4 linked regions of the Schizosaccharomyces pombe genome follow. The gene in region 2 interacts genetically with the main gene of each other region. Each region holds a gene or a part of one and is shown on either strand. Other genes may lie near its edges.

The links.
Region 1: mutations in hmt2 (region 2) and rec7 together harm fitness more than expected from each alone (negative genetic interaction), as found in Schizosaccharomyces pombe (one large-scale study listed by BioGRID).
Region 3: mutations in hmt2 (region 2) and pdc202 together harm fitness more than expected from each alone (negative genetic interaction), as found in Schizosaccharomyces pombe (one large-scale study listed by BioGRID).
Region 4: mutations in hmt2 (region 2) and fbp1 together harm fitness less than expected from each alone (positive genetic interaction), as found in Schizosaccharomyces pombe (one large-scale study listed by BioGRID).

What each region holds. Positions count from the first base shown.
Region 1 is NC_003421.2:1,545,376-1,551,069, forward strand, and holds rec7 (meiotic recombination protein Rec7), read right to left. Parts: upstream 3,695-5,694; coding exon 3,542-3,694; exon of another isoform or gene 3,485-3,541; coding exon 3,371-3,484; exon of another isoform or gene 3,266-3,370; coding exon 2,513-3,265; 3' UTR 1,676-2,512; downstream 1-1,675. Other genes in the region: tol1 (3'(2'),5'-bisphosphate nucleotidase/inositol-1,4-bisphosphate 1-phosphatase), read left to right, coding at 4,629-5,690. UniProt on the Schizosaccharomyces pombe protein: May be involved primarily in the early steps of meiotic recombination.
Region 2 is NC_003423.3:2,587,918-2,593,442, reverse strand, and holds hmt2 (sulfide-quinone oxidoreductase), read left to right. Parts: upstream 1-2,509; 5' UTR 2,510-2,963; coding exon 2,964-4,343; 3' UTR 4,344-4,439; downstream 4,440-5,525. Other genes in the region: DNA-directed RNA polymerase III complex subunit Rpc25, read left to right, coding at 273-480, 597-683, 735-1,003, 1,138-1,185; tkt1 (transketolase), read right to left, coding at 4,865-5,525. UniProt on the Schizosaccharomyces pombe protein: Catalyzes the oxidation of hydrogen sulfide, with the help of a quinone.
Region 3 is NC_003424.3:583,036-588,441, forward strand, and holds pdc202 (pyruvate decarboxylase), read left to right. Parts: upstream 1-2,561; coding exon 2,562-4,277; 3' UTR 4,278-4,460; downstream 4,461-5,406. Other genes in the region: ysp2 (peptidase family M17 cytoplasmic leucyl aminopeptidase yspII (LAP yspII)), read left to right, coding at 1-998.
Region 4 is NC_003423.3:196,873-202,173, reverse strand, and holds fbp1 (fructose-1,6-bisphosphatase Fbp1), read left to right. Parts: upstream 1-2,804; 5' UTR 2,805-3,031; coding exon 3,032-4,075; 3' UTR 4,076-4,514; downstream 4,515-5,301. Other genes in the region: transcription factor TFIIF complex beta subunit Tfg2, read left to right, coding at 5,099-5,301.

The sequences.
Region 1 (5,694 bases), on a different chromosome or scaffold from region 2:
AAGCCACTTATGCACGTTTTGCAAGGCTCTTAATAGCGTGGCGAACCTTCTTAAGGATATTGAAGAATAGGGAAATCGGAGGCGGTATGGCTTGCAATTAACGCCGTACAGTGAATAAAGCGGTACTAAATCAAATCGGTGAAATTTACCGATAATTAAGGAAAAGACAAATCAATTGAAGGCGCCGTGGTTTGGGTTGGCTGATGGAGTTGGCTTGATTATAAGTAATGATGGCGGAGAGTTGCCGCCTTTGCTGTTGTGTATGAGTGTGTAGTGAATATGCACAAATATACCTCAACGACTAATGGATAAGGTGTTATAGCAAGTACAGTAGTTAAGTACCAATGCGGGATTTTTCTGAAAAAATATGCAAGCACACGGGCTTGACAGAAACACAAGAGGAGACAAATAAACCAAAGTCTCCGCACCTTAAGTCCACAGAAGAAGAATAAAAAAAAAGATCGCAATTGAATTATGTGAGGGGGCCCAGGCGTCAATAGTACAGAGTCGATTGACTAAGTAGATTTAAGATCACAAGCTGTAGAGCAAATCAGAAATTTGCACCTACGCAGAGACAATGAACAATTGTAATTTCAGAAAAAAAAATATCGACAACGATTCAAATTCCGAGTAATTTTCTAGCAAGACTATTGAAGAAAAAATTTCCCTAATCCCTTGATGAGCCTTGTCGCACTAACACAATATCGGCGATGCTTTCACACTCCTAGATGTGCTACCACCAACCATTATAACTTATGAAAAAAATTTGTAGTATCGCTGTAAACGAAATTTTTGTGTAAGAATGACGAGAGTTGTTTTTGCACAGACAAACGAGGTTCGGACGATCGGCCTATTTTTTAAGTACGATAGTGATTAGTATAGTATATCGTGAGGAGCAAATACAATCGCATAAAAAAAATCAGGGTGAAAAGAATCATTTCAGAGTGCGTTAATGAGAAAGTCCTCGTTATAAAAGAAAAAAAGGAACCGATGATTTAAAGTTATTGATGGTTTTAAAAAACAGCGTTTATTTTTACAGTGTTTAAAGTCAAGTCAATATTAGGCACAAGAAGAGGTCACACTTTATTTTCAAAAGAAAATGGATGAAATGCAACTCCATGCGTTGCGATAAGCGTTAAACACCAATCTAGGAAGCAGTCCCTCAACAGAAATGAAGCGAAAATCGAATGATGGTGAGAATAGAATAATAAAACGAGCCCCGGTAAATTGAAAGTTGATAGAATCAAGTTTCAATTAGGGGTAATGAAAACGTGCTTAAAAATAGGGAGTAATGTTGTAGTTACCAAAATGAACAATTCGGACCAGACCAATAAATATTGTCGAAATAAAACAAGGAGTGTTAAATTTTATTATTATGTCTTTATTCTCCTTGGAAACCGGTTCGTCCACGTGAAGAGAATTCTATTAGCATTGTCGAAACCGTTTGATCCGGTTATGCCTTCATATCTTTGAAAACATTTCCGCCAATTCCACCAAGTGAAAATCACAATATCGTTAGTCGGTATTGTCTTTAGGTTTACTAGCGGGGGCGTTTTTGTTTTGAGGAAAAAAGAATATTCTCTGGTTTCCATCTACCTTAAGTGCCGATTAGGCAGATAAGCTAGATTAAGTGAAATGGGAAACGGGATTCATTTTCCATTGACAACACTTTTAAACATTATTTGATAATTCGCATGCAACCCTTCAAAGTCGATTCGACATTTTAAGGTTTACTTCACGGACATTGAAATCATTGTGAAGCTTTGTAGACTGTTGTCTCTCTCGGAAGTACCCAAAAAAAAAAAAAAAATCCTTTTTACACTCATAACGTTCTAGCTGTTTCATCCCTTTAAAAAATATCATGTTTTTTTTTTGGTGCTCGGAACATTTACTTTCTCCACTTGGTTCGTCTATTTTTGAAGTTAAACTAACTATTTGACCATTTTCGTACTTAATGTCATGAACTCCTCTCGTGGATTGTTAAGTCAATTATCAAAACCAACCACCAACTCAATTTTAACCGTTGTAACCTGACCCATTATTAACACTAGTATTCATGCTGTACTTGCGGCAATTCCCCCATCAAAAAGTTTTCAGAGTTGTCTTTTGATACCGATTATGTGTCGTGGTGGAGGCTTACACCCCAAGGATCGGAACGGGATCTTCTCAATTTGATTTTAATGCTCTGCATGGACAAGCCTAAGGGAAAAGAGTCATGCAACAAGTAGAGAAATTTATTTCAACATTGTTGTGTTGGCGGTTTCTGTTTGCTAATCCTCAGCAACGATCATATGCAGTTGAGATCTCGACCAACTTTTCGTTAAATAATGTCAAAATTTGCAACAAATGTTTTATCACGGTACTCGAAGAATGTGAACTTAATGAAGTTTCTCATTTGGTTGCCAAATTGTGGTCACACATCAATTTTGTCGAAATAACCATTCCGATCCTGATTTCGTTCCATTTTTACTACTTTTTTAAATTTGGGATTAAGTTGAATTGGTCTGTCTTCCTACATCTTGTTCCATACCCGTTCCAAACTTTGACATAATTGGATGAAGCTGTCTTGTTTTAGATAGAATAATACCTTGGAGCGTAATTGCTTTTCCTCTTCAGTAAGTTCTGTTGGTAGGATTTGTGAAGTCGTTGGGGGTGATGGAATCAAATTTGCGTATGCTTGGTTCTCCGGTTGAGCAACCCACGAAGCCTGTGTCTGAGAGTTCAGCGGCGTAGCAGCAATAATGGGGTATTGTGAGTTTGCACCGTAAGAGTAGGCATTACGATTGGGATTAAAAGGTGATGAAGTTATCACCACGTTTTCATCCCAAGTGGGTTGTTGTGACGCAGTAATACTTTCAATTGATGTATCACTTCGAAGGGGCATTTGGGTCATGCCCGCATCCCCGCGGAATCGCTTAAGCGGTGGTGTATTGGAGAAGATTTCAGCATTTGGCATGACATGCTGCAGTGGTGCTGGATTGACATAGTTTGTGCTATTGTTCACAGCAGTTGTTGCTGTTTGGGTCATGGGGATATAACTCGGTTGTAATAAAAGATTTGGCTGTTGCGCCGATGACTTGTTATATGCATTGTTCATCAACGAAAGTTCCTGTGAGTTATTAGATTGACTTTGGGAGTTATTGAATTGCTTCTTCTCAGAGGAAGACTTTGCATCTTTGAACACCAGGCCTAGCTTCTCAAATTCAACTTTGGCTTTCATATAATGCACGTCAGATGGGAATTTCACTTGAAATCTTTTCATCACCTAAATTTATTAACAACAAAATACGCTTCATCAACACTCCATTTTTTTTTTTAAAAAAAGAGGCCTCAATGTGATTTTGAATAAATCTGCTTTTGTTTTACTTACATTATTAGTGAAAGCACGAATATTCATACACGGAGCGCGTGAAAGCAGAGTTAGACATTTTTCCTTCGTTCCCGGTATCAATTGGTGCCAGAGATCTAACAAGTTTATACTTTGCTGTTTGTTTGTTAAAAATATTGAATTTTTCTAGCAATATGGTTTCATGTCGCGTACAATTAATTCTTCGTGTTGACGAATTTGAAGCAATCCAGACGTTAATGAGAGTGTAAAACCTCCATCTGAATAATGTGACCAGTTGATATGGGAGGAATCTGTAGTATACGAATCCTCAGCTACAGAGTACTTAACAATTGGGAAAATGTTCATGTTTGTTTATGTTTGAATATGAGAAGACGCGTTAGACTGAACCTCATTTATCTGATAACGCAGTACGTTCCGTCACGGTGTATTACTTTTGTTTACATTTATGAGTTGACCTGAAAACGACTAGACTTTATGGAATGTAAGTCTTGTTATCACAATATATTACATATGATTGTAATTTGCCATAAGGAAACTATTTCTTCAATCTGTATTGAGGAATATCTGATTGTTCATTAATTTCTCAAGTCTCTTCAAACAACAGTATTTTGAGAGAAAGGAAATTTTATGAGCAGTTTCTTCTTTTACTAATCAATCCCTTTAAAATATTTTTATGCCTTCATTTCATCCTTGGTATCTACACTTATATAAAAATTTTAGGCATATTTGCCTGTTAAAGGGAAACGCAAGATACGGACTTGCACTGCTTTTAAATTATGCGTTTTTTCCATCAGAATGATATTTTTTTTCCTTAATATTATATTTCATCCTTTCTCCATAGGTTGGAAGGGTTGGCGAACTGCTTTGCCAATACCCAGACTTTAGTAGTGTCGTTTGTATAATTAATGAAAACCTAAAATGTGGACATGGAGAAACCTGTTTTAAAATATTAACATGCTCTTTTCACAATAGAAACTACATAATCATTATTGTTTAATAAAAGTTAGCATAACCTGCGATTTTACAAAAAAAAAAGGTCTTTTAGTCAGAAAAAATGAAACTCTTTCTCGTTTCATAACAATTTTTTAGTTCTTTCTTCTATTTGAACAATATTTTTGGTTAAATGTGGAAACGTCAATTAAACACCGTATATGCTGATTTCATATTCTTCGCACTTCCACTGCCCAGGTTTACAAAAATTTCCAAACTCCGTGTTAACAGGAAATTTGGTGCTAAAATCATACCTCCATTAATAAATAACATTAGAAAATTATTTACCATGAGCTTTGATGCCGAAAAACAATTAGCTATTGCTGCTGTGCGCAGAGCTAGCTATTTGACCGAAAAAGTGTTTAATCAACTTATCAAGGAGAAGAGTGCTGCTGGGGCACTTACTAAAGATGATAAATCACCTGTGACTATTGGCGATTTTGGTGCTCAAGCTATCGTAATCTCTATGTTAAAAGATGCATTTCCCAATGATCCAATTGTTGGCGAAGAGGATTCCGACTTTTTGAGAGAAAACACCCAAACCTGCTCTCGTGTTTGGGAATTAGTTCAAGAAACTATCCAACATGCTACTGAATACAAAGAGCTTGGTCAAATCAAGTCAGCTGAAGAAATGATGAGCATTATTGACCAAGGATCATATCACGGTGGTCGCAATGGTCGTATGTGGACTTTGGATCCCATTGATGGAACTAAAGGATTTCTACGTGGTGCCCAGTATGCTATTTGTTTAGCTTTGATTGAGAATGGAAAACCTGTGGTAAGTGCCATTGGATGCCCTAATCTTCCATATGACTTTAATCAGCCCGAGACAAGTCCCAAAGGTATCATAATGTCCGCTGTTCGTAACCATGGTTGCTTCCAGTATTCTCTCCATAACGAAAAATTAGAACCAGTTCAAGTGCACATGCAAGATGTTCAAAACACCAAGGATTCAAAATTTTGCGAAGGAGTAGAGGCTGGTCATTCAATGCAAGGAACTCAAGAAGAAATTGCAAAGTACTTAGGGATTACTCGTGGACCTACCAAGATGGATTCTCAAGCCAAATACGCTAGTCTTGCTCGTGGTGATGGTGACATCTACCTTCGTTTACCAACCAAAATGACATTTGAAGAAAAAATTTGGGATCATGCTGGTGGTTCTCTTCTTGTTGAAGAGGCTGGTGGTGTTGTTTCTGATATGTTTGGCAAACCTTTGGACTTTGGTGTAGGAAGAACTCTTAAGAACAATAACGGTGTTATAGCCGCCTACAAAGGTATTTTTGAAAAGGTAATTGAAGCTACTGCAGCTGTAACATCTAAAGACCCTCACTTTCAAAAGGTCGCCCAATAATCTG
Region 2 (5,525 bases):
TCGTTAACTCGCCATGAATGGTCTGGTATGCAACATAATCTTCGTATTCATATTTTTACGCGACCTGGCAAAGAAAGCTGGGCTTGCAGTTAAATTACTTTTTTGAAAGGTTCCTTTTGATTTATGCAAAGTTGTTGACCAAAAGGTTAAGAAATATTTTTAAATTGGATTGTGATCCACTGTTGTATTTCTAATTATTTATCGTTCTATTCAAGTTAAAGATTTTTTCTACAAGGTGGTAAAAACTACGAGTAATAGCCGTTTTATTATTTATGTTTCTCTTGAGTCGGTTTTCAGACATTATAAGCATCCATCCATCCAATTTTTGGAAGCCTACAAAGGAAGCACTGGCTGAAGAAATCCATAAAAAGTATGCTAACAAAGTGATACAAAACATTGGACTGGCTATTTGCGTTTATGATTTTTTGAAAATTGGGGAAGGAATAATTAAATACGGAGATGGCTCTTCATACATGAATGGTAAGTATAAGTCTGCTCACTTTATTTCATATGCCAATTCGCATTATCAATACGAAAGGCTGTCAGGATAGTGATTCAGTGGAAAAGAAAAACTTAAATGGTTCTAATTAGATTAGTGGTTTTCCGCCTTATAATCTTTCGTCCTTTTCGAGGTGAAGTAATGCTGGGAAAAATAAAATCGTGCAGTGAAGAAGGTATTCGGGGTATGTTAAATGTGTTTGTTTAAATGCTTGTTGTTAATGTTTTTCTCCCAGTAACTATTAGCTTTTTTGACGATATTTTCATTCCGAAAGATATGCTTTTCGATCCATGTGTCTTTCGTCCGGATGAGCGTGCCTGGGTATGGAAAATTGAAGGGGAGGACGGCTCAGAGGGAACCGAATTGTATTTTGACATTGATGAAGAAATACGCTTTCAAATAGAATCTGAGGACTTTGTTGATATTTCACCTAAGAGGAATAAAAATGCAACCGCGATTACAGGCACAGAAGCATTGGAATCGGTATCCCCATATACATTGATTGTAAGTTTTTTTTTTTATGTTTAGGGCGAAACTTGTGTCATTATTTATGAAGGGTGCACCATCTATTTGCTAGTATACAAGAAAATATTTTCTGCTTCTCTCAAATCGATAGAATTTACTAACTATATATTTAGGCTTCCTGTTCTCGTGATGGACTGGGCATTCCTGCTTGGTGGAAATGAGCTATTGGATTCGAATCAAAGTCAAACAAAATTTAAAAGCATCAATTAATCATTTACTCCAAATTGTATAAGTAGACTTTCATTCATGTTCTATTTTTCTTCATCTAATGCATCACCAAAATTTCCCAAAAATCACGTGGTCTAGAAAATGGTTGCAATTCTATTCTGTACATTCATCCCGTCTTATAAATTTCATTGCCGAAGGTTTTTGCACAAACCTTTTGGGGTTTTATTATTTCGTTGGAGATACCTGTGTTGTTTTTAGACATGTCCTACTTAAAGGTTGCTTTTAGTGAAAAAGGGTTATTTATAAATCAACTACTTCTTTTTTTTTTTTTTTTTTTAGCTTTTCTCTATTTAAAGGTATATTATTGTATCGAAAAATCAGTTTGTTTACATCTTTGCACAGCAACACATAATGGTTATGAAAACGGCGTTCTTCAAAATTTACCTTCTTGGATGATCATGGTATTTGCTAACAGGGGGCTACTTTAATAAAGGTACTTTCATGTCAAGCTTAAATTTAATCTGGTTAAAAGAGTCATATGTTCTAAAACTTTATATTCAATCTAACAACTGAAGATTCCGCACTGCGTAAAGGAATTTTTCAATGTTAAACAAACGATCCATGCTATGTATGATTTGATTGATTTTGGTATTGTGTATACTAATGTTTAGTAGTATTACCGAATATGGAAAATTTAATTAATTACACAAAAGAGCCGATTCATTTTATAGCATAATAGAATATCAGTCTACTTTTTATGAACAATGTTTGCTTCTTCAGCAAAGAATGTCCATCGCCAACCCACGTTACTCTTTAGTACAGCCGATTTTCGTTATATGTCAGAAAATAGCAACCTTAACATTTCAGCGCCTTGCTATTTGCTATTTGAAAATGACCAACAGCAATTTGACAAACTTCTAATTTTGTTGTATTTGTGCACAAATGCATGGACGTTATAAAGGATTCTTTCGGCTACTGTACTACTTTAGGGATAAACGAATATTTTTGCAAAATTAAAAATACACATACCCACAAAATCATTCACTTTCTTACTTCTAGTACTATTATTAATTTACGGAAACATGCATTAAGCAGCTTTTATGAGTTCCTTAAGCCTCGATAGCTTTTGCTTTACAAACTTTAATGAAACTTAGCAAATCCACGTGATTTGCCCCTAAAATGAATAAAGTTATGCCACATATTTCGGAATCACAAGCAAAGCGCAAGCACTTGACAAAATTGCGTAACCGATTACGCCTTCGGAGCTGACGTGAGTTATCGACTGAATATAAACACCTTATGCTGCTAATTCTGATTAGTCGACTGTATTTGCAAATATTTTCTACATAGGCTTGTCTTCCGTTAATTCTATTTTGTACACTACACCATTCTTTTTAGACGACAGCCGGTAGACTAAATTGTGCTTGTTTCTTGAACAATTAAAGTACATTGAAGAGTGCATATAAAAGAAATAAAAAATTTTTTTTTTTCTTTTACTTCGCTTGAGTCAAAACAGACTAGCACTTATTCTAGTACACTTGAAAGGTGGTGCTTGTTTGACTACATTCTTTGATATTGTAATCAAAAATTTTTTTTTTAAAAATTCCTTTTCTCCTGATTTACTTATTGAGGTGTTAAATTCTTGAAATTTTAAACGCGTTTTTTCCGCTCAACCTCTGTTTTCTTGTGTTTTATTAGGCTACTTTTTGCCTCCTTTTTTTTTCCTTTACCTTTAAAAAAACACTTCTCTTTTGCATTTTTGCAACTAAAAATGTTGACCTTAAACTCAACAATCAAGTCGGTCACCGGCTCATTTCAGTCCGCTTCCATGTTGGCTCGATTCGCCTCTACCCATCACAAGGTTTTAGTAGTTGGTGGTGGATCCGCTGGTATATCCGTCGCCCATCAAATTTACAACAAGTTTTCTAAATACCGCTTTGCCAATGACCAAGGCAAAGATACATCCCTCAAACCCGGTGAAATTGGTATTGTGGATGGTGCCAAGTATCATTATTACCAACCTGGTTGGACTTTGACTGGTGCTGGATTGAGTTCTGTTGCTAAGACCAGACGAGAATTGGCTAGCCTGGTTCCTGCTGACAAATTTAAACTCCATCCTGAATTTGTTAAATCCTTACATCCTCGTGAAAACAAAATAGTTACTCAAAGTGGTCAAGAAATTAGCTATGATTATTTGGTTATGGCAGCTGGTATTTATACTGACTTTGGCAGAATCAAGGGTTTAACTGAGGCTTTGGATGACCCCAACACCCCTGTAGTTACTATCTATTCAGAAAAATATGCTGACGCTGTTTATCCTTGGATTGAAAAAACCAAGTCTGGAAATGCCATTTTTACTCAACCCAGCGGTGTCTTGAAGTGTGCCGGCGCTCCACAAAAGATTATGTGGATGGCTGAAGATTATTGGCGTCGTCATAAAGTTCGTTCCAATATTGATGTATCCTTCTACACTGGTATGCCTACTCTTTTCTCGGTTAAGCGCTATTCTGATGCCCTTCTTCGCCAAAATGAGCAATTACATCGCAATGTCAAGATTAATTATAAAGATGAGCTTGTTGAAGTTAAGGGATCTGAACGTAAAGCCGTATTTAAGAATTTAAACGATGGCTCTCTCTTCGAGCGTCCTTTTGATCTTTTGCATGCCGTCCCCTCTATGCGTTCTCATGAGTTTATCGCAAAGAGTGATTTGGCTGATAAATCTGGTTTTGTTGCTGTTGATCAATCTACTACACAATCGACCAAGTTCCCCAATGTTTTCGCTATCGGTGATTGCAGTGGTTTGCCAACTAGTAAGACTTACGCTGCCATTACTGCACAAGCTCCTGTTATGGTCCACAATCTTTGGAGTTTCGTTAATGGAAAGAATTTAACTGCATCATACAATGGTTACACTTCATGCCCGCTACTCACTGGCTATGGTAAGCTTATCTTGGCCGAATTCTTGTACAAACAAGAACCTAAAGAATCTTTCGGTCGCTTTTCTCGTTTCCTTGACCAAACTGTACCTCGTCGCATGTTTTATCACCTTAAGAAGGACTTCTTTCCTTTTGTTTACTGGAATTTCGCCGTCCGCAATGGTAAGTGGTATGGCAGCAGAGGTTTGATTCCTCCTCACTTTCCTGTTAATTAAAGATTCAATCATCTTTCTTGCGTAAAATAATGCAATCTGCTAGGCATGATTTAGTAGCAACCCTTATATAATTGAATGTTACCCCCTTTCCTTACCATACCTTTACTAGGTTTATCTTTGATTAGAAAAACAGTGTTGATTATTAAGTACTCTAAAGTTATGTACGTCTGTGAATGTTTGAATAAAGTTATTAAATAAATATCAACTTTTTACTTCTAATTTTAAATATGAATAAAAATAGTTTGTAATACATCAACTATAAACGCCAGTAAACTGCACTTACATTGACTAAAGTAGATGCAAAATTATTGTAATACTCTACTCACAATTCCAACTATATCGTCGAATATCATATATACAAAAATATATATATTTATGCATTCATATTTTGCTCACATTTATAGACTTACATTCAAATAAAGACAAAACACAATTCACTCATAACTACTTCCTTCCGCACGAATTGAATTCTAAGCCAGCAAATCAATCCTAAAAGAATCTAGAGAAAAAATGCTACTAAATTAGAAAGCACGGCGGACAGGGGAACGAATATAAGGGATATCCTTGTAAGCATCAACAGTCTTTTTGGCACGTTGAGCAACACCAGAGGTGGTGAAATGGAATTTCTCGTATAATTTGGGAGCAGGGCCAGAGTCACCAAAAGTGTGCATACCAAAGGCCTCGTGAACGTAACGTCTCCAACCATTGGTAGCCCAAACCTCGACGGACATAGCAGGAATACCGTCAGGAATGACAGAAAGACGGTAGCTTTCTGGTTGTTGTTCGAAAACTTCCCAGCAAGGCAATGAAACGACACGAGCCTTCAAGTTGTACTCGGTCTCAAGGGTCTTGACAGTGTCAATGCAAAGAGAGACTTCAGAACCAGTACCGACAAGAGTAATATCGGCCTCCTTGTTCTCCAACATGACATAACCACCCTTAAGAGCATTTTCAATAGTAGAGTTCTCAAGTTGAGGAAGGTTTTGACGAGTCAAAGCCAAAATAGAAGGAGTGCTATCACTAGTCAAAGCACTGTAGTAAGCAGCGGAAGTTTCATTACCGTCAGCGGGACGCCAGCAGTTAATGTTGGGCATAGCACGGAAATGAGCAAAAGTCTCAATAGGTTGATGGGTAGGACCGTCCTCACCCAAACCAATAGAATCATGGGTAGCAACATAAATG
Region 3 (5,406 bases), on a different chromosome or scaffold from region 2:
ATGCTTTTAAGGTAGGTTTGATTGAAGCAGCTGCTCAAAACTTGGCTCGTTCTCTTATGGAATGTCCTGCTAATTACATGACTTCTCTTCAATTTTGTCATTTTGCTCAAGAGTTATTCCAAAATTCCTCAAAGGTTAAAGTATTCGTTCACGATGAGAAGTGGATTGATGAGCAAAAGATGAACGGTTTACTTACCGTGAATGCTGGTTCCGATATTCCACCTCGTTTCTTAGAAGTACAATACATTGGTAAAGAAAAATCAAAAGATGATGGATGGCTTGGTTTAGTTGGAAAAGGTGTAACGTTTGACAGCGGTGGTATCAGTATCAAGCCTTCTCAAAACATGAAGGAGATGCGTGCTGATATGGGTGGTGCTGCTGTTATGCTTTCCTCTATTTATGCCTTGGAACAACTTTCCATCCCCGTGAATGCCGTGTTTGTTACCCCTTTAACTGAGAATCTTCCTTCTGGCTCTGCTGCTAAGCCAGGAGATGTTATTTTTATGCGCAACGGTCTTAGTGTAGAAATTGATAACACTGACGCTGAGGGTCGTCTTATTCTTGCCGATGCAGTTCACTATGTCTCTTCTCAGTATAAGACCAAGGCTGTGATTGAAGCCAGCACATTAACTGGTGCTATGCTAGTAGCCCTCGGTAATGTATTTACTGGTGCATTTGTTCAAGGAGAAGAGTTGTGGAAGAATCTTGAAACTGCTTCCCATGATGCTGGAGACCTTTTCTGGCGTATGCCATTTCACGAGGCTTACCTCAAGCAACTTACAAGTTCTTCAAATGCTGATTTGTGCAATGTTAGTCGTGCCGGTGGTGGTTGTTGTACAGCGGCTGCCTTTATTAAATGCTTCTTAGCCCAGAAAGATTTGTCTTTTGCTCATTTAGACATTGCCGGAGTTATGGATAAGCAGCTTAATTCTTGGGATTGTGACGGCATGAGCGGACGCCCAGTTCGCACTATTATTGAAGTCGCTCGCAAGTATTAGCTTATTTATTTTCTTGGCTATATGTGCAAACTTTATGTTTTTACTTATTTACTGTTGATTACACCAATCTCATTTTTCAATGTCCTTGTTAAGTGTATGTCAATGATATGTAGCTATCATGATTTTATTCTTTTTAATACTGTTTTCCACAACCGTTCATAACGGTTGTAAGGACCGAGTCTTTCTGATGGCTCTGGTTCTGTTTCCTTTAAAAATAAAATCAATTCGGTTGAAGTCTCATGTTGTTAAATTTCACTTTCGAAGTAGCGAATTTTTTTTTTCTATTTTGAATATAGATTTGTTTATTAAATGTAGTAATCAATTTACTCATGACTATTACTTTTGTCAAACAAAATCATAATACAAAACTAAATCTTTAAAGGTAGAATATTCTCCTGTGCGAGTTTACAATACTTTGGGATATGATCAAATCAATTTTTTTTAGATATCTGTTGAAATTTTTATAACAGTAATTTTGTATTATTTATCATACTATTTATTAGCGTTACCTGCCCTCTTAAATGTACACATCATGTGGGGGTGGGGGAACCAGTGCTGGAGATCACTTCTTGCTATACCGTTTGGCTCATGGCAACTATTGAGGATAGCAAGGAGCGTTACAATTTGCAAATCAATATGATAAACAGAAAAACAACAAGTTGAAGCTTAACACTGTAGCAATATAACAATGAAAAAAATAATCAGAATTAAAGCAAGAAGCCTATAAATGGTCCATCAATTGTGAAATCGATATTGCTAGATGTCAGGCAAATCGTGAACTCGGTTGAAAAATGTCGTTAATATTCATGTGAAATCATAATTACAGCAATATGTTCAAAGACTTTTGGATACTTTATAATAATGAGGATTCTATTTTTGAGTGGTCACATGGTCTCGTAACCATGAGGTACGCCTTACTTTTACGGACGAAACAATATTTCACATTCAGCTCTCAATGTTAAGTATCCAAACAAACATGGTACAAACCAATAAAGCATGTAAATTAATAAGCTTGAAATAAGGAATAGTCATTAAATTCAGTTTAGACATAATGTAAAAGGTATCAATTTTGTCTTTGGTATAGATACAATTAAGAATTTCGAGACGGAACGTTCGGTGATGTAGAGTTTTCATAATAATTTCTGCAGTTGCTTACACTAACCGAAGAATCGTCCAGTATAAACTGCTGACGATGCCTTAAATCAATAATTGCAAATTGCATAGTTGACGTTTTCCCGGGTGGCACATAGTGAGATTTGAGTCGAATAATGAAATAGCCTCTGACGAGTGGTTTCGTACCAAGAGTTTCAAAAAGAATAATCCACATTAACTCAATGTATCATTGATGACGGAATGTTGCTTATATAGCCAGAGTAACCCTGCTCTGAAGCATCTAAGGTTATATCTTTTTAACTTTTAGCTAGCAAACTCACTTGTTCCTTTAAGTTCAGAAAGTATCTGCTGGTTATTCAACAGATAATTATCTTGCGAAAAAGGAATACACACTCAGCATTGTAATTTGTTGAGTATATTTCACAAGCACATTAAATTGCATTATCAAACATGAGTGGGGATATTTTAGTCGGTGAATATCTATTCAAAAGGCTTGAACAATTAGGGGTCAAGTCCATTCTTGGTGTTCCAGGAGATTTCAATTTAGCTCTACTTGACTTAATTGAGAAAGTTGGAGATGAGAAATTTCGTTGGGTTGGCAATACCAATGAGTTGAATGGTGCTTATGCCGCTGATGGTTATGCTCGTGTTAATGGTCTTTCAGCCATTGTTACAACGTTCGGCGTGGGAGAGCTTTCCGCTATTAATGGAGTGGCAGGTTCTTATGCGGAGCATGTCCCAGTAGTTCATATTGTTGGAATGCCTTCCACAAAGGTGCAAGATACTGGAGCTTTGCTTCATCATACTTTAGGAGATGGAGACTTTCGCACTTTCATGGATATGTTTAAGAAAGTTTCTGCCTACAGTATAATGATCGATAACGGAAACGATGCAGCTGAAAAGATCGATGAAGCCTTGTCGATTTGTTATAAAAAGGCTAGGCCTGTTTACATTGGTATTCCTTCTGATGCTGGCTACTTCAAAGCATCTTCATCAAATCTTGGGAAAAGACTAAAGCTCGAGGAGGATACTAACGATCCAGCAGTTGAGCAAGAAGTCATCAATCATATCTCGGAAATGGTTGTCAATGCAAAGAAACCAGTGATTTTAATTGACGCTTGTGCTGTAAGACATCGTGTCGTTCCAGAAGTACATGAGCTGATTAAATTGACCCATTTCCCTACATATGTAACTCCCATGGGTAAATCTGCAATTGACGAAACTTCGCAATTTTTTGACGGCGTTTATGTTGGTTCAATTTCAGATCCTGAAGTTAAAGACAGAATTGAATCCACTGATCTGTTGCTATCCATCGGTGCTCTCAAATCAGACTTTAACACGGGTTCCTTCTCTTACCACCTCAGCCAAAAGAATGCCGTTGAGTTTCATTCAGACCACATGCGCATTCGATATGCTCTTTATCCAAATGTAGCCATGAAGTATATTCTTCGCAAACTGTTGAAAGTACTTGATGCTTCTATGTGTCATTCCAAGGCTGCTCCTACCATTGGCTACAACATCAAGCCTAAGCATGCGGAAGGATATTCTTCCAACGAGATTACTCATTGCTGGTTTTGGCCTAAATTTAGTGAATTTTTGAAGCCCCGAGATGTTTTGATCACCGAGACTGGAACTGCAAACTTTGGTGTCCTTGATTGCAGGTTTCCAAAGGATGTAACAGCCATTTCCCAGGTATTATGGGGATCTATTGGATACTCCGTTGGTGCAATGTTTGGTGCTGTTTTGGCCGTCCACGATTCTAAAGAGCCCGATCGTCGTACCATTCTTGTAGTAGGTGATGGATCCTTACAACTGACGATTACAGAGATTTCAACCTGCATTCGCCATAACCTCAAACCAATTATTTTCATAATTAACAACGACGGTTACACCATTGAGCGTTTAATTCATGGTTTGCATGCTAGCTATAACGAAATTAACACTAAATGGGGCTACCAACAGATTCCCAAGTTTTTCGGAGCTGCTGAAAACCACTTCCGCACTTACTGTGTTAAAACTCCTACTGACGTTGAAAAGTTGTTTAGCGACAAGGAGTTTGCAAATGCAGATGTCATTCAAGTAGTTGAGCTTGTAATGCCTATGTTGGATGCACCTCGTGTCCTAGTTGAGCAAGCCAAGTTGACGTCTAAGATCAATAAGCAATGAGCAAGCTATTGAGAGTGGAATTGGCAAACAAAGTTTCCTTTGATTTATATGTTTTTTATGATAAGCCCATTCAATTCATATAGTCTTTTAGTATAATGATTAGTTATTAAATTTATGTTTAAAGCAACTTTTTAGTTTAAAATTTTTCAAGTCAAGTTAGGGTGTACGTAAACAAACAATACCTTGGAAGCAATGAATGAAAAGGTAGAGTTAATCCAAACAATGTGGAAACCAGTTTCCTTGCATCTACTTACTAGTTTCGCAGAAAAATTGCTAAACTGCTTAAAAGCCAACTTTAACATTCTTATTTCTTACATAGGAGCTACCGTTCCATTCACATTGTGATATGCTAAGAATTTATTAGTTTTACAAAAATTGGGTGATTCTACTATTTAATACAGTGGTTTTGTAACGTAATGAAATTATAACGCTCGTTTATTACGATTTCCTAGGTAATGTAGCGGGTAAAGGCAATTGACTGATATTATGTATCACTCTATCACAGCAACGGACGAACGGTTTGCGTTGTTGTTTATAAATGGTTCTGCAACGCAGCTTCTGACTTTGACACTCTACACCACACCATACTTCAGCGCTCTATTCTTTCGCATAGGAAGGTAAGCTGCATTTCGTGGCGTTTGGTACCTTGAAAAAATATATTTTGGTTAATATTCGTTGGCTTTTTCTTTTAATTCTTGCTACTAATTCCAAGAATTGTGTAAGTATAGGAAGAGGCTGTGTTGATCGGTTAGTTTCGTAATTTCGGCATACTAGTGATTCCTAAAATACCGACTACTAATAATTATAAAGCTTAGATCACTTCTTTGGCTAAAGTAATTAAACCAGGAAGTCTTAAAATTCCGCTTTTTAGCATCCTAAAAATTTCCCCGTCATTTCTCAAAAGTGTTAAACGCGTGAATGTTCTCAAAGCTCTGTTTTCTTTTCTTTGCTTTTTGAACGGCTTTGTCTTTGCATTAATTTTTGTGACGCGTTTTGTGCCTCCAATAGGTAATTAATCTAAATCCGTTTAAAAAGTTGTAGGTGACTTTTTATTTTATTACGTTTTGCTTTCATAAAAAAATCCATTTCCTTCTGTGCGTTGCATATTCATTAATATATCACTTTGATA
Region 4 (5,301 bases), 2.4 Mb from region 2:
TAGTGTGGAAGCGAGTGCGATTTGAACTCTTTTTCTTCCATCGGAATAGAAAACATATGAGCGGGGCCGAAAGCTGCCGCAATCTATTTTGCGATTGTGTACCCGATATCCTAACAGCAAAGCAGTGAATTGGAAGATGAATTTACTACAATATCTGTAGTGTCTTTTAGTTACATTCAGAAAAGAAATTGATACGAAAATGTGCACGCTAAAAGCTCAAACCCATGTATACTTATGATCTTCCAATTGTACAAATTATTGCTATTTTCGCTAGTCTATAGATCGATCAGCCATTGACGTCAGCGCTCGTTTAGTATTTGAAAACAAACGCCAAGTTAGGTGTTTGTTTATTAATGTGTTTCTTTGGGTATATGAGTGTATGAAAATTCGACTCAAGCTCCTGTTAACACTTGATCTTTCTTTTGAATCGCGAATAGCATTGACTCCGATATCTCGGTTCAATTTTTTTGAGTAAATAGTAAACGTACGTTTCATAAAACTAACTTTAACAAAAAATTATCTACTTAGTGAATTAGTTCTCACTTGGATAAATACTTGTTTTTGTCAAGCTTTTAGCATGGTCAATTGATATCAAAAGGAACTCACTCCAAAAAAAATCGACCCCACTTGGGTCCATGAACCTCTCTTGTCTTGCATCTCTCAAGGACTGGATGGATGTGGGGGTTCGGGGAATCAAGAGTTTTCAATGGAGTAAGTGCAATCAAATAAATCAAAGCGACAAAGGATTAGAGCGAGGAGACGAGAAAAGATGGAAATACAATGAGTAAATTCGTATTAAAATTGATATCGTTTTAACGAAGGAAAAGAGAAAGTTACTCTACGTAGGTTTGCAAAAAAAAAATATATAAATGTAGATGTAGATGTAAAATTAATGTTAATGAGAAATTTGAAATTAAGGAAGCATAAATAGTATGGAGACATTATAGTTAATATGGACGATGAGTTAAAAGGAATAATTGGTTTAAGTGAAGCTAAAGAAAAATAAAAATAAAAAAATAAAAAGATGTCATTTAATATTAAATTTAAAAAAGACAACACACACATAAGAACTATTCAATAAAATAAAATAAACACAGTACAATAAAATAAAATAAATAACGATCTAACGAAACAGGAAAAAAAAAAAAAAATAATATATTACAAACAAAAAACAATCTCAAAAAGCTATCTTATAATTTGAGTATCCTAACCATAATATTTATTAACTCATATGTAAGTTTATCTTGGTAGAAGCTTTACCTTTAAGAATTGACTTCATTCCTACTCGCATCGCATTTGTTGCTTCTATTTTAGAGATAAAAGCTCTTTTAATTGAACTTATGCTTTTACCAACACGGCACGTGAATCAAGTTAGAATAATAGTCTAAATGTCCACAAAGGGTGGTTTCTCGTTCTATGAATAAATATAGTAGTAGCTTAGTGAAAATTCCACGGGACATTAGTTTATATAAGAATAAAAGTGAATGTATGAAAATTACATGTGAAGAATAAATTTGTGGTAAAATACACGTCTTTTAAAATATAGCTAATAGCACACATATTTTGAAGCATGCTTTATATCCTGCTCTTTCAATGCAAGGTTATTATCCCATTCTGAAGCCACATACCATCAACCCACGAAAAATCTCGTTAAATAAACAACACCAAATTTCCTTATTGCTAATAGGAAGGGCGGGATGAAAACAATCAACCTCAAAAATTTCTCCCTCTCTTTAATTACCTGGATGACCAGTCATTATAGAACGAATTTATTTTCTCCACTTCTTTCTATATCTTAAGGTTCATTTCTCCTCCTACTAACTACTCCATCCACCCACCCACCTTTAGCACTTCCCAATCATCTACGTCACAAAGCATTAGTACTCATCATCGAATTTCACAATTTCTGATTTTCGTTGCTGCATTCCAGCACACTACACTGCGCCATTTAGCTGTATAAGCCATGTTATGTTGATTCTGAGTTAACACAGGTAAGAAGACACATAAAGCCCACTTTAAACTTGAACTTGTATTCGTGTGCTCTAAAACGTACAACACTATACCAAAGCAGCACGAGAAAACAAGTTCAAGTTTAAAGAGACATAATAACACCTACAGCTACACAATGGCGATCAATCATACACAATTGCTAGACATCAAATCATAGGCAATTGGGGTCGATCTTATGTAATTGCTGTGGGTATGCAATTGAGGTCGGTGATGAAAGCAGCGGTCATGCTCGCCTCTCAATCCTTTACGAATGTATTAAGGGAGTGCCATGCCATGCCATGCCATTTTCTCAGTCACGTAAACCTCGATACGATACAAGCTCTAACCTTCCCATCCCGTATTTACGTTTTTGCAGTATTATAGGAAAGATGAATAGGGTGGAATGAGTCCGCTCTAGCAATCGTTTGGTAAGCCGGCTTCGTTGAATTGCAGTATGTCATTTGTTTAGCAGGCTGAAACAGCATTGCCCTGTAGTTTTCATTGCAAGCCCCTCGTTTTTTGAAGATTAGGTTTATCGTGTATGCATTTTTAATTAAGCGGATCACTCAGGTGGGCGTATGAAATAGGGATTTGCCATAGTTGTCCATTCAACTAAAGATTAGATTGTTAAAAGGCTTATGATTCGCGGAACTAAACATAGCGAATACTTCATATGCTGGCAAAACGTTGTTTACATGGGAAATACATGGCGCTTCCATCATGGCTCGTTGATTTTTGTAAATATATAAATAGTGGCGGGCAGCAGTCAAGGTGAAACGTTTGTTAGGATTTTTTTTGTTTACACTGGAGAGAGACAACACAACTCATTATTAATTTTTTCATCTTCGTCTCTCTCGTCTCTTATTATATCATCTCATCTCACCACTCGGTTTCTAGCCCAACTTAACTCAGCTCAACTCAGTTCTACTTAGAACCGATTTGCTCCTCTTTCTTAAAAACTTACTTCAGCTAGGATTCACCTGGCCAGCTTATTCAACTTCATTCCCCGTTTCTTGTTGATTCAGGTTTCGTTTACTCCATCATGAAAAAAGATCTCGACGAAATCGACACTGACATTGTCACACTTTCCTCCTTTATTTTGCAGGAACAGCGCCGATACAATCAGAAGCATAAAAATGAAGAAGGAAAACCTTGCATTATTCAAGAGGCTAGTGGGGAATTGTCATTACTGCTAAACAGTTTACAATTCAGCTTCAAATTCATCGCCAACACCATTCGTAAAGCAGAGTTGGTAAATCTCATTGGTTTATCGGGAATCGTCAATTCCACTGGCGATGAACAAAAGAAGCTAGATAAAATTTGCAATGATATCTTCATTACTGCGATGAAGTCGAACGGATGCTGCAAACTCATCGTTAGTGAAGAAGAGGAGGATCTTATCGTAGTTGATAGCAACGGTTCCTATGCCGTCACTTGCGATCCCATCGATGGCTCTTCCAACATTGACGCCGGTGTTAGTGTAGGTACCATATTTGGTATCTATAAACTGCGACCCGGCAGTCAAGGCGATATTAGCGATGTCTTAAGGCCTGGTAAAGAAATGGTTGCTGCTGGCTATACTATGTATGGTGCTTCGGCTCATTTATTGCTTACCACAGGTCATCGTGTCAATGGCTTCACCTTGGACACTGATATTGGCGAATTCATCTTGACCCATCGAAACATGAAAATGCCTTTGCAACATAGTATTTATTCCATTAATGAGGGTTACACTGCATTTTGGGATGAAAAAATCGCTCGTTTTATTGCTCATCTCAAAGAAAGCACACCAGACAAAAAACCATACTCTGCTCGATACATTGGTTCTATGGTCGCCGATATGCACCGTACCATTCTTTATGGTGGGTTGTTTGCTTATCCATGCTCAAAAGGAAATAACGGAAAGTTGAGACTTCTTTACGAATGTTTCCCCATGGCCTTCCTTGTTGAACAAGCAGGAGGTATTGCGGTAAACGACAAAGGAGATCGCATTCTGGATTTGGTACCCAAAACATTACACGGAAAAAGCAGTATTTGGCTTGGAAGTAAACATGAAGTCGAGGAATATATTAATTTCATAAAATAGTAATTCCTAGTTCTTTGAAGTCCTCTCCGTTACTTTTTATCTTCTTATCACCAAACATGGTTATTCCATTCCAATAATGCAGAAACTGAAACTTTTGTCAATTATTCTCTGCATCATCATAAACATGGATCTCCAATTAGGTTATTTTTCTCACATATATATGTATATATATATAATATTTGTATATGAATACATGTATCTTTTAGATGAAAAACTTATGGTTGACAGTTGCACTTTGTCAACCTCTTAGTTTTTTAACTTAAAGAAAAAGAGATAATAGTTTTTGTCGTGGATAGAGATTTTAAGGTGGAATTCACCTATTTTTCAGAGGACGTTGGAAAAGCTTAATGTTTTCAAGTAATGTTTTAGGATACATAAGTACATTTGAAATAAATGTCTTTATTAAAAAACAAACAGCTACATTTGTTGTGATTTTTTCTGTATTCAATAATCATCTGCTAACTGTATTTTCTAAACCGTAAAGTCCAAATCCTGACTGTAGACAAGTTAGTCTTTGTTTACGGCAAGATGTTGAATGGAAGTAAAGACGCCGTCAGTTGCAGTACACTTCATAACATTATTTTTTGACCAGGGTGACATTCACAGGCTCAAAAGAAGGAAATACCGAACAATTCAATCCAACGTGAACTGTTTCTGTAACAGTACTCCCTTAAACATTCGATATATTTTTCTCGTAGAAAGCTACATCTTTTTAAAATACCAAAGTGTCTAACAATATTCTAAACTTGTTTTTAAGGATTGATTACTTTATGTGAATTTAAATTACCGAGGGCTATATGCAATTCTCGACTTCACTCCGTACCTTAAATCGGTTTGTTAAAATAAGTTAGTGAAGTACAATGACATTTCGGTAAAATATTTATGCGATGCTTGTAAAGAACCGTAAATCAAAGTTGCTTTAGGGAGGCGACATCAATGCTTCTTTCTCTTAACTTGTTAAAGAAAGAACCATTGAATAGTGGAAACTGCTTGAGTAATTTTCACTATTTTGAAGGATTTAAAATGTCTGAAGAAAAACCGACGGTTCGAACTGAGGAGGATGACCGCTATGAAGACGATGCTGGTGATTTAGATTTGGGTCAAATTGGCTCAAGAGTGTGGTTAGTTAAAATTCCCAAGTTTTTGATGGACAAATGGAATTCAATTCCAGAAGACGATGCCGCTAATCTAGGGTGTGTTCGGGTCAAGAATGATGAAATACAATT